Linked DNA regions of Drosophila melanogaster. The protein of the gene in region 2 interacts with the protein of the main gene of each other region in a pairwise test. Each region holds a gene or a part of one and is shown on either strand. Other genes may lie near its edges.

Region 1 (5,454 bases), on a different chromosome or scaffold from region 2:
TCTCCAGCAGAATTAGAACTCCCACGAAGAAAATGTAGTAGGAAACGAGTAGAAAGCCACAAGCTCGTCGCAGCTTAAAGTTTGTGGTTAGTACGGAAAGCATGGAGAAGCCCATTCCAACCTCCAAGAAGATGCAAACCGTCTCCCCAAATCCACCTTCCGTTGGCTGCTGGCAGATCCCTTAACAAAACTTTATATTGCAACATTTACTGTACTACAACTTACGAATATGTTACCGGGCGCGTTTACAAACGAGTTCACCACCAATGGCAGGGCCAAGAAAACAAAGGATGCTTTTGGGGAATGTAAATCTTATATATAGCCTTCGATAATATCTTCTGATTACCTACCAAATACTGGTGCTGAGAATGTGGCCGTCATTGCCATGCGAGGCCATCCCTGATGGGCCAGTGACAGATTGGCCACCAAATCGTTGCTACTTAGTGCCCAGCAAATGGCCGTGGCAAGTGAGAATTCCTGGCTTACTTGCAATATGGTCGCCATCGTAAAGAACATGGCATTCACCTCGGTGGTTAAGCAGAAGATCAGGAAGACGGCGGCCATGAAACCCACGCCAGATGTAAACTGTAAGTTAGTTAGGATGAGACTGGTTAAAGTTGGATCTTAAAAATATTATTTGTTTTTCGCAATATTGGTAAGATTATTTGAGATTAAATGGTCAAATTAGCCTAGTTTTAGCACATATTTATTTCTATATTCTTTGTCATAAATAAAAAACCGGTTATACATATGAGAACGTGGCTGAGATATGCGCTAGAAATAACAAAAACTTACCCTGAAAAATATGGGCGGGGTGTCAGTGCGCGTGAGAAAAAATATCAATGTAGCCACAGGAATCATTAGGATCAGCGCAATCATATAGACGGCTAAGCCCGCAATGCTATATCCTCGAACTGGAATACAGATCGTGAGGTGAAAGAGTCCGGCAAATTTCAAAGGTAACTTCACCTATTATGTAGGCTATGTAGGTGGGTACAAGAACCACCTGGATGTTAAAGAGCAGCTTGGACCATCCGTACTGGGGTGCCTCCATGTCGACCTTTGGAATGAGTATTCTCAACAACATATCGATGGGTTGCTTCACTATCAGATACAGCTTCACCAGGAAGGTTCCCCGATGAAATCGATCCTTGTCGAATTCGGCAACGGTATTCCAAAATTGCCGGAATATTCGCTTATTTCGACTTCCGTGTCCAATGGAGGGTCGATCGATTTCTTGCCGCTTCAGTGGCATCTCCTTCTGCGGCTTCAGTTCCTCCAGCTGCAACGCCTCAGCCACATTCAGTTGTCTTTGCTCCATTTCTGATAAAGAGTAAGCGATGTTCTGCTAACTGATAAAACAATAAACTCACTCTGAATGCGGGCAATCAGCAAATGCTGATCAACGATGGCCACCACCACATAGCCAACGAATATGAAGGCACTGGGCAACGCAGCTAGCCAGCTGATTCCCTTGGGTCGCTTGTGGATGTAATCCATGTAGACCGTATTGAGGAACAGGAAACCGAAATCCCTCAGGTAAGTGTTTGCCCGCATATTGAAGGGCTTGGTCAGGATCACCAGTCCGGCCACAAAGATGTGCAGAAACATGGCCTGCGACATGCACGAGAGGAATGAGTGCTTGGAGGTCTGCACTCTCGAGGCAATCGCCGTGAAGAAATCCGGTGATCCATTTGCAATGGCCAGAACTGTAACTCCAGCCGTGCTCTCGTTCATTCGCAATAAGTCTGCGATTACCATCAAAGTTGGACAGAAGCTGAGGTAGTAGTATGTTCAATCATATTGGTAGTACATTTTGATATCATTGTTGTACTCACTAGTTTTTTATTGTTATTTGCATCATCCAGAAGACATAAATGGTAATCAGAAACATGCCCAACACACTCCAGAAGGAATTGAAACTATTTCGGACATCCACCTTGCAATAATGCCATCCCAGGTAGTTGAACAAATTCATATTGATTAGACAATCAGGTGTCGTTTGCACAAATTTGCATTTTTGTGACTCCAGCAGATCGTGCACCATGGAGCAAGATATTTCGGAACGCATTTTTAGCTTGGTTCATAAGTCTCCCGACTATTTATTCTTGTGAGCTGATCAAAAACCCTAGGCATCTTATGATGTTAAAATAAGAAAGGTTTGAAATTTCATCAACTTACAGAAGATTATTTGGTTGCCATTTAATAAAATATGCTTACTGTTGTTCTCGTTAGTGTTAATTCGCAAAAACAAACATAAAAACGAGTACTGTAAATGTTTAATAAAGGCCATCTTTATGAGATCCATAAAAATTTTTTTGGGAATAACTTTTGAGTTTCGGGTTGTTTACAAATTCCTCCAAATGTATTTTGCTTTGTCCCATTACTAATCAACAAAATATTTCCATTTGCTATGTGCTCACCAATCCGTTAGCGCTTGATTATAAAAATCGTTAATCTTTGTATATTCTCCAATAAAGTTATAAGCCATGATCGTCATACCAATAGTTTGCAGTCGGTGAGATAATATTTCTTCGACCAGCTTTCTGCTTAAATTAGCACTAACCATAACGAAATTTATGATAAGTATTTATATGCAACACGGAATTCGCATTTCACATGCAGCTGCTGTTGCTCCATTTGAATCGAGAAAGATGCGGATTTCAGATAGGGAATCGTTTTATTGCTAGCCAGTTAAATTAGATCGCACTTGATTTTAAATTAAACAATACTTGAGTAGTCTAGGTTCTAGGAGAGCTTAGGCAGTCTTGGTCTCAACCTTCTTCTCGGTCTCGGCCTCGATGGCGGTCTTGACCTCGGCTTGGGGCGCGGCATCGAGGACCACCTGGACAGGCGCCACCTGGGACTCGGCGGGCAGGGGCTCGGATTTCTCCACCACAACCGATTCCTTGGCAACCACAGGCTCCTCCTTCTCCACTGGGGCGGCTTCCTTCTCTACAGCAACTTCCTTATTGTCCAGTTCCTGGGAGCGGGCCTTGCGATACTTCTGCTCATCCTCGGAAACCTTGGGCAGAAGGGCAGCTGACTTGGCCAACTCGGTGATCTCCTTGGGAATGATGGTGCCAATGGGCACGAATCCGTTCTTTCCGGCGGTGTAGTGCACCTCCACGGTGTTGCCATCGGCGTCGATGTAGCTGTACATACCGGACACCTCCAAGGCCTCGTCCTCGGTGCCGGCGTTCTCGATCACTCCCTGCTCCTGGCGCACGGACTGGTCACCGCCCTCGTAGCTGAAGTGGAAGGAGCCATCGGGGTTCTTGTTCGTCTCAAACCTCAGCAGAGGCACAATCTCACGCTTCTCGGTGGTGCTGTCAACCTGGCCAATGCTGGCAGCCAGAGATCCGCCGACCAGGGCCAACAAGCAGATGGCGATCTTGAACATTTCGTTGGCTATTCTTGTGGGGTGAGAGAGATGGGAGAGATTTGGTGCTTTCTAGGCGGGAACCGACGGACGACTTGGCTTACCACATCTTCCATCCACTTTATATACCGGCGTTTAATGTGCGCAGCAGCCGCGAATTAACATCTTTCAGTCCCATTACGCCATAACCAAAAAATACAGAAATATACCCAAAACAAAAGCGAAAGAAAAAACGGAAAAAACACAAAAGAAATTCTATGGAAGCGCGCAGAATGTGACTTAATAAAACACTCACATCTTAGCGACAACATTTGCATATTTGTGATTCAGCGACTTGGCTTAAACGTAAGTCAACAAGAAAAAACAGAGGTCAAGTGATAAAGCCCATGATGATGGGGCACTGTAATGAGATCGATTTGGGCCGGTTATACGAATATTCCAGCAATCGAAAAAAATCCCACCAAGACACGTCATAAACTTGTTTCTCATTCGCTGCCAGTCAATCCATCACTTAAAGTGCCCGAAATATCTAGGCAAGCTGATTGATTGCCAATGTTTAGGAAACTGCATAGCATATTAGCATAGTGCTACACACACGCTCCAGAAGACAAAGGGGCATAAATTAAGATACATTTGAGGTGCGCTTATAACGAGTCCATATATCGGTTTCGGATTCGAATCGCACGCGATCCATCAGTCATCAGTCATCACACGGGAAACTACTTGGCCACCGTGAGTGTGTGCAAAAAGCATCGGCTAGTAGTAAAGTGAGTAAGCCAAATTGTATGTCAAATGTGAAAAATGCACTAAGCCAGCGGCAAACAACTCTTCCTCTCGGCGAAAAACTGCAATTTGAAAAGCCGCCCGAAGGCCAAAGCAAAACGCGGGCAACCGCGAAATTGGCCAAGTAACATGGAAAACGAACGAAAGGGAAAAACCAACGGGTAGCGGGAGTTGGCCAAAAATCTCGGGCGATGTTCATCATGTTCGTGATCATCTTCCAACGCCGAGTTGGCTGGATTTTGGCAGCAGCTATTGCTGTAATTTTTATGAATTGCAACTGACATTTCCTACACGCTGGAAAAGTTTAAAGTTTAAGCCGAAAACTCTTTAGTTTAAGCCTTAGCCGGCCGGCAAAAATGTGCCAAATGGGAGCGAGTTACTGGTGCAGCTGGGAGTGGTGCCTGGTCGACCTGGTCAGCGAAATTGGCCTAAAAGGGCAGGCTCACCCGGTCTACATAGGGAAAACAAAGACAAATAATACTCTTTAACAATGCATTGAAATGGACAAGCTGGCTACGCCCCATCCCGCGGCCCATTCAAATGTCAGTCGGCAGAGATTCTATCTCGACTCATTGGCAGGCATGTGGCCAAATGGCCAATTCATCAAATCGAAACCAATTGCAACATCTGTAATCTTTTAATTAATATTTGACTTAACGAATTATTGCATCCAGTCGAGCATCCAGCGGGGGCACTAATCAAATGAAGTTCGCATTGCTAATTCACATAAATTACACCGCGGAGAACTGTGAGCTGTAAGCTGCATACGCGGCGTATGCGCAACGCCCATTTGCATTTGAAACTCGTTGCGCATACGCTACGTGGTGCACTGGCAGCGACGGCAGCTCTTCCGATTCTGTTGCTGTCAGGCAGACAAACACTGTTTGTTTCGAATCCCGCTCGGCCTCCGCTCGTCGTCGGCTCCTCCTGCCCTTCCAGCCGCCAAATCTGCAAATCTGGGCTGCTGCACTGCATCTGGCTGCGGATGCTGCTTCTGCCGCTGCTCTGCTGTGAGCTGCAGTGAATGCGATTTCGGTATAAAAACGTTTGTGGCAACTGCAGCCAAGTCAAAGCACTTTTGACGAGCCTCCCAGCGCAGTACCCGCTATCAAGTCGCGAATCCGAAGTGAGTTTAAGTTCTAGTTGCGGTGGTGACTCCTTGAAGACAGGATCACACACAGATACATAGATCAGACACATAAGCTACAACTTGCGAGCGAGTGCAGAGACAAGTGGAGTTGATCCTGCATAAAGGATAACCAAAGTTTAAATTCAAAAGATCACAGTCA
Region 2 (7,981 bases):
CTATAGAAATCTTACAGAACTTGTTAATACTACAAACGGAACTTATCTACTATCGTTTCTTTTCTTCAGGATTCTTCAGACTAAGAAGCGTGCCGCCGGCTCCCAAACATTTCTCCATTTTCGTTTAAAAGCTTATTTCTAAAGGAGAACCTTGAGCTACAACAACAACTACTAAATGACACTGGCGATTCCAACGACCACGCCCACTATTATTCAAGTTGTCCGCGCCGATGGCCACGATGACCACGATGATGGCGATGCTGGCGACGATGATTCCTGGCCTCCGCCTCTGTTTCGCTGTCGGTATCCTCATGACCCCGCTGGGTCTCCTGATGATTCCGCTGGCGATCGACCACCTCCTGTTCCTCATCTTCATCATCGTCAATGGCATCCTCATCGTGCTCGTTAAGCAGCAGCGGACTATCATCCCCGAGGCGATTGGGCGGCAGGGCACTGCCCGGCGTTGTGGGTGCCGATCGGGTGATCCAACCCTTGCGTGCAACTCGTCCACGATTCACAAAGAAGCTGGCACCGCTGACGACACTGCTCACCGGGCTCTTGAGCACACAACGCTGTGCGCCCGATCCGGAACCTCCGATGGCGGCCATGGGTATGTACAGAGCCTTATTGGGTTGCGTTTTGCTGCCGGAGGTGAAGAACTTTTTACTCCGCCCACTGGTGCCGCCCGAAATGGATGCGGATGTGGTTAGGATGGGCTGCAACACCTGCTGGGAGTTCGAGGGCGTCGATAGCGTATGCTGCAGCCGGGGCTTGGCGCCAGTTCCGTTCAGCAGTAGCTGCTCGTAGCTAACGCCCGCCTGCAGCTGGCGGATCTGGTCGAGAATCTCACGCACCTCGCCCGTCGGACTGGTGGCCTGAGGCGGCGAGCCCGGTGTTCCAATGTTGGCCAGACTACTCACGCCGGACACCTGAGCCGATGGCTGGCAGCAGTTCTCCAGACTATGCAGCGGGTTCGGTTGGATGCAGCCATTGCTGTATATCACCGGTGTGCCAGATCCTCCCGATGTGCCTGCGGCACCCGTTACCGATCCTCCCAAGCCGCCCATTGCCAGGCTATTCAGGGAGGCAGCCTGTGTTGCCGATCCACTTTCCGCGCCATGGAAGGCACCACCAGCTCCTCCGCTTTCGGGTAGCATTCCTGCAAGAAATCATATAACAATAAATAAGTATTTTAATAGGAAATTCCTTATCACAATACCCACCTGCCACACAGCTGTTGTTCACAAAGATGTCGCTGAGACTGCTGCTGCTATTCGCCATATACCGGAAGTGCTGATCACTCTGGGACTGAAGGTAGCCCACACCAACGCCCACGCCAACTCCCTCCTCGTGAGATGCATGCAGCCGCGTGCTGTAGAGCGCTGCTCCGCCCGGTGCACTGCCCAGTGCCACGGTGGCATAATGCTGGGCCTGCGTCTGGGCGGGCATCAGTCTCGGCTGATAGGCATCCGTTTCCACCAGCTGGGATGCCGATCTCGGCATGGCGTAGTGCACAGATGCCAGCGGAGCATTTGGCACCTGATGCGATGGCGCCTGTTGTTCCACAGATCTCAGATGGCCATTCCCGTGTCCATGGGCATTTGCATTGGCATTGACATTAGCATTGGCATGCGCATGGGCATGGGCCACATAATGATGCAGTCCTAACTCCGGACTGGCTGCCCGTGAGTATGGTGGTGGCACCAGGGTATTCGCCTCATTCGCATTGCAAATGAAGCTGGAGCTTAGGGAGTCGACGGTGCTGGCCGCACTCAGGGATCCCCCGGCAGCCGGACGGACGATGTAGTTCCGGAAGTACTGCACCATCAGGTAGCTGGAGCTGCCGTTGCCCTTGCCATTGCCCGAATCGCTGTTGCAGGTGAAGACAAGTGGATACAGATCCGGCTTGGAGGTCACCTGAGAAGATGGAAATTGTTAAGCGAATCGATTCCGGTCATGTATATGATTACATTACCTCCGTATATGGCGGCGGCGGATGGTGAAACGAGTTGCAGCGACTATATTGTGGTGGTGCATAGCAGGAGCCGGCGGAATCGCCCTCGGATTGGGTGTGGTGCTCATTGAATCCCCAGCCGCATAGTGTCCGCCGCTTCTTCCATAGTGAGTAGGCACACAGGATGGCCAAGATGATGGCCACAACCACGCACCTGCAATAAGAATATAGATTTTCAATCAATCTTTGTAATATCAAAGTGAGGATCGTTATTCACTGCTCGGTTTGCAGCTGGCGCGACTGAATGAAGAAGCCCATTGGAGTAGTGGATGCGGATGTGGGTGCGGATACGGATCCGGATCCGTGTCCTGCTGTTCCCGTAATCGAATTCCGACTGAAATTTGTTTGCCTTTTCGATGGCCAAGAGATGGGATTATATGAGCTGGGTGGCGGTGTGCGGGTTCCGTTTGTGTCTCATTAGTTGGCATTGCCATTTCCACAGCCCCCAAGGGAGGTGGTCGGTACTATGTGCTGGTCGCACTGATGGTAGTGGTGGCATAGCACGGGGGTACAGCTTGCATAAGCCTCTCGACTTGACTCGACATTTGACTTGACGCAACCCCGTCGCTGGGCGCCACCTTTTCTGCCAATAATAATAATATCTCTCGCATGGCACACAATGCCAATCAGCTGGAAGTCCGGCCAGAGCACACTGAAAACCCACGCCATCCAATCCATCCCACCATTCCAACGCCCCAAAAACCCGCCTCATTGAACGGCCTTGCAGACGACCTCCGGGGAATCCCCAAACACAAAAACAAAAACAGTGCAATTCATGATGACCGTGACCATCGCAGTAGCTAAATAAATCACTTCTACTTTGCGCAATTAAAAGAATCACTGTCTCCGAAAGATTCCTATTATTTTACAATTTCGAATAGATAAGTTAGATAGACAGAGAAGTTTCCAAAAGGAGGAGTTTCTCCGGGTCAACACTACTCACCAGAAAAACCAGTGGGTGGCGAAGAACAGATTGAGAACATGCGAGTCCGAGGAGGGCGGAAGGGGGCGTGGCCCGCCCTGGTACGGCGGACAGCAGCCCTGGGTGCAACAGCCCTGAGTGCAGCCCTCGCAAAATCTGGCAGACACCTGGGAAAATGGAACAAGACATTGCATATATTATTCGTTTAATCATGAGAAATATTTGCACATTTTTTATGATAAAAAATAATGTATTCCACTTTTTGTCGATACACCTTTGAAATTGTCATTGCCAATAAATAAAGAATATAAACAACAGCTTGTTATTTTTGTGGTGTTTTTGTATAGCGAGCGACCACTGTACTGCGCCCTTGTTCTTGTGCTCATATTTATGTTTGTGTGCTATGCATTTATTACCGTTGGGAAAGCAATCGCAATCAATTTAAAATTCAAATGTGCATGCAACATGGATGCGCTTGCGTTTATTTAAAAAACTTTTTACAAAGATTAGCTGTTATCTTTTTTTAAGGCGTTTCGTGGGCCCAAATTGCAACAAGCGCACAATAATTGTATTTAATCAAAATATTACAGTGTTGAAAACCAAAGTTTAAATTGCTCGCACATACAAAGGTTCCCAAAAGCATGCAGTGAAACGTATAGTGTCTTGTTTTAAATGAATTCACAAGCGATTTTTATCACCTTGACAATTTACATGTGTAAAATGCGCTTAAAAATTAACTACAGCATAACATTTCGTTGTTTTTCGGTTATTATGCTAGTTTGAGTGCTTGCAACATTGATGAAATGAAGGGCACTTACGTTCGCTGGCAGCAGCCCCAAAAGGAGGAACAAGGAGAGCAGGAGACACTGCAGCGCGTTTGTGTGCGAGGGAGAGGGACGGAGCCACATCTTTCTCAGCCGCTGACGCTGCCTCAGTCGACGCCGCTGTCGCAGTTGCTGCTCGGACTGGCGCCAAATGTCCTACGGGGCTGGTGAGGGGAGGAGGTGCGGGGAGTGTGTGCCTCTCCCTTATTTTCTTCGATTCTTCGCTTTCTTCTTGTCGCAGCCTCCGTTTTGTGTCCGTTTTGGCCCTCGTGTGCGATTTGTTCCTGTCTTTTGTTTTGCTTTCCTATCTGGCTTTCTACTTGCTTCTTTTGCTGTTGATACTTTGCAGTTCCGTTATTTGTACCACATGCTGTTGTTGCTATTGTTGTTGTGGTCGGACTCACACAAACAGCGCTTTGTTTTGTCCTTGACAGACGCCAAATGCAATTTACCGTAGCATGCTTTTGTGCGTTGCGTTGCGATTGTTGGTGTTGCTGCCGTTGTTGTTGCTGCTGCTGCAGAGAAGAGAGAATTTGTTGCTAACTGAGTGCTGCATTGTATTATTTATCTTATGCCACACCAACCACAACACATTCGCACACACACATACACACACACTAAGGCACAAACACCTCGACGACGCCAAAGAAAATTTTCTTTCGTGTGACGCCACTCTTTTCCTTTCTCTGCCTTTCACAATTTAAACTTGAGCACTGGCTTTGGGACACACGGCTAACGGGAAAATTCACTAATGTAACCCCTGTAATTGTTGTTCCGAAAATTCAAGGCATATAGAAAACAACAACAACAACAAGAGCAGGAGTAGCAGGATATTCGGTTGCGGGCGAATGGGTAACGGGGGTGGCGAAATGCGAATCAAGGCGCAAAGCGGAATTCACCGTTAGCCTCGAACGTGGGAGCGCGCACAGCAACAACTGAGCGACAAAAACGGAAACAAAGGAGCCAGCAGCTTTGTAACTGACGGCCAGGATTGCCACCCCGCGCAATGAACTAAGGATTGAAATCATATGTGTTGCATGAATCCCCAAAAATTAATTTCGTTTCTAGTTAGTTTTATTAGTATACTCTGATTTCATATGTTTAATTAGCATTACTTAATATGCTTATATGGTATACCTAAAAAAATATGTCGACTAAGAAACTCTTTATTCGCAACATTTGGCACTGAAGCCTCTAAGTAAACCAATTCCTTAGAAGCCTGGCAACGCCAACAGCTGATGGGGATTTACCAAACGGAATCAAGAGAGATGATCAAACAGCGCATGCGCCAAAAAGGCGCACTTTCAAAATACCAAATTTATGAATACAAATCTTAAAATAACAAAAGTAATTCTTTAAAGTACTATATTCATTGTAAAAAAAAGTGTACATTTGTATTAAATAGAGTATATATATAAAATAAGGAGTTAAAACCTATTCTTAAGATCTGTGAAACGTTAATCTACTTCGCTTTGAAAAACGATGCGATGCTTTTAGTGCCCTTGGCTCCTTTGGCCAGGGCCTTCTCCTTGGCGGTCAGCGAGCGCTCCTTCAGAGGCGCCGCTGTGGGCGATGTGATGGTGGCATTGGGATCGCCATCGCTGTCCACTAGACCGCTGGACTTTAGCTTGGCAGCAGCATCGCTCTCATTTAGCTTGATCTTCTTGGAGTCGCTGCCCTCGTTCTTGCCCGCCACCGACTTGCGCTTCTGAGAAGCTGCTTTCTCCTCAACAATCGCCTGAATCTCGCTAGGAATGTGCAGGTAACTGGTGAGCAAGCCGTGCAGATCCGCATCCAAATACCGTCCCACATAATCGCAAGCCATGCGCGTGTAGTCCATTTCGTTGCTAACGTTCTCAGCTACCAGTTTCTCGCTTCGCACGAAATTCTGCGACTGCGCACTGTGGCCGCAGTGGACTTGCTTCTCCTTCAGGATCTTCGCCACCTGGCGCGTCTTCAGAGCCAACCAAGCCAATGTGCGCTCTTGGTTGTACTTGTAGAACTTCTGTTCGCCAGAGCTCTTCACATCTGCCACGCATTTAAGGTTCCCTGGGTCGAGGATCTCGTTAAGCAGACGACTGGTGCTGGCCTCCTCCACGGCAATGTTGTCCAGCGATATTGCTCCTGATTGTGGTTAAAGATTTTCAAGAATACAATAGTATAGTATACCATCGAAAGCGAATGATAATATCTTACTTTGCGCACAATGTTTTCGGAGGTGATGAAGAGCCAGGAACGTGGGATCCACGGGCGCGGTCATGTAGATTCTGCCGTTGGAGCAGACCTCGCTGTCCACGAACCAACTGCGTCGGGGTTCCGTGAACGCCACCAGCTCCATCATTCTGCCATCGGGATGGGTTATGAACAGTGCCTCCTTGCCATGTCCGGGATGGAAAAACATCTCCAGCCGAAGGTGTCCGTCGTCCGCATCTTTGGGCAGCAGTTCCTCCGACATGAAGAACACCTTCTTCAGTGCCGAGGCCTTGCACATCTTGGCAGATCCCTCCGCATCCGGATCAGCTTTTGGTTTTCTCGCTCGCGTTTCCTTTTTGCCCATTTTCTCGAATAACTTGCCAAGCGTGAAGCAAAAGTCAATAACTGTGGACCGAACCAAAACAAACGATTTGCCGCCTTTTTGGTTATTGATAGAAGTCTATCGATTAATTTTGGTATTTTATATAGTCTGCTAATTTTAACTTGTTCCTATAAACTATTTTATCTATTTTATGCCAAATAGAAGAGCTTAAAAATTAAATAATCTCTGCCACTAACGTCCGCATCTTAATATTGCAACTAGTCTAAAATGGGTATTAACTTTGATTGAGAAGCGCGGTCACATTGCTTGAACAGATGTTCACAGTGATGAAATTGTTTACAACAGTATATTGTTTTTAAACAACAAAATGAGCGTAGATATAGCCAGCACGATCAAGTTCCGGGATATTTGCAGCCTGTTCGAGAAGATTAAGGCCACGCAAAAGGTGGCTAACAAGGAGGAGGTCCTCAAGAGCTACTACGAGTCCTTCTGTCGCCACCGCGAATCCTTTCGCCGGCAAACCGGATTAAACAACGACCAGCCGGAGGACGGTGCCAGTAGCTTCTATTCCGTGCTGCGACTGCTGCTTCCGGGTGCGGACACTGGTCGGGATACCTATGGATTGCAGATCACCGCGCTGGGCAGGCTCTACATCAGGGTGCTCCAGCTACCCACGGACTGTGAGTGCAGAAACGTATTGGCAATGGCATTTAGGCTTATTTAGAATCTCTTTGTTGTCTCTACTAGCCAGCGATGCCATCAGGCTGCAGCACCGCAACGGAAACATGTACCGGGACTACGGTGATGTTGTTTATTCCGTGCTTAAGCCAAGGTGCTTTAATCCGCCCAGCAATTTGAGACTGAAAGAAATCCATCAGATGCTGGACACCATTGCCAACGAGGACACAGAAGGTGGGCGCTTTTAAACTGATCTGAACGACTGAACGTCTTAATGAGACCGCTCTTTGCAGTTAAGCAGCAGCAACTCATCCGGTTTACGGAGCAGGCCTCGCCTGAGGAACAGAAGTGGCTAATTCGGTTGCTGCTTAAGAGCCTCGGGCTGGGGATCGGTGAGCAAAAGATTTTCGGTGTGCTGCACCCCAAGGCGCAGGATATCTACCAGCGCTGCTCCGATCTGGGACATGTGTGCAATCTGCTGGCAGACCGAACCACCGACCTAGACGCCAGCAGCAGCAAGGACAGCAAGGCGGCGGTCAAGTTTGTAAACCTGAATTCCGTCATACGGCCATTCCACCAGATACGTCCCATGCTGTGCGAACGATTCCCCGGTGACATCCAGGAGCTGATGCAGTCGGATGTGCTCTATCTGGAGACCAAAATGGATGGCGAACGCTTTCAGCTGCACATCGATCGGGGTCGTTTCATGTACATTTCCCGCAATGGAGTGGACTACACCAGAAACTTTGGTCACAGCTACGATCACGGCACCTTAACGCCAAAGCTGAGGGGACTTCTGCCGCTGGGTCTGGAGTCTATCATACTCGACGGCGAGATGATGGTGTGGGATACCAACAAACTGCGCTTTCGGGAAAAAGGCGAGAATACGGACGTGAAGAGCCTGAAGCCGGAGGGCAGCTGGCAGCCATGTTTCGTGGTGTACGATCTGCTATATTTTAATGGCCAGAGTCTGCTGGACCATACCTACATTCAGCGGGCGTACAAAT

What was found. The genes of interacting proteins can lie anywhere in the genome.
Region 1: the proteins of CG11164 (region 2) and Cpr47Eb interact in a two-hybrid assay, tested with the Drosophila melanogaster proteins (one large-scale study listed by BioGRID).

The regions. Positions count from the first base shown.
Region 1 is NT_033778.4:11,253,194-11,258,647, reverse strand, and holds Cpr47Eb (cuticular protein 47Eb), read right to left. Parts: upstream 3,482-5,454; 5' UTR 3,404-3,481; coding exon 2,759-3,403; 3' UTR 2,665-2,758; downstream 1-2,664. Other genes in the region: CG13223 (uncharacterized protein), read right to left, coding at 1-166, 226-293, 351-585, 796-914, 970-1,323, 1,374-1,777, 1,839-2,047.
Region 2 is NC_004354.4:13,666,423-13,674,403, reverse strand, and holds CG11164 (uncharacterized protein), read right to left. Parts: upstream 6,391-7,981; 5' UTR 6,318-6,390; coding exon 5,957-6,317; intron 5,885-5,956; coding exon 5,223-5,884; 3' UTR 4,831-5,222; downstream 1-4,830. Other genes in the region: CG15760 (uncharacterized protein), read right to left, coding at 210-1,159, 1,224-1,917, 1,976-2,168, 2,958-3,103, 3,755-3,844; DNAlig4 (DNA ligase 4), read left to right, coding at 6,664-6,976, 7,044-7,208, 7,268-7,981.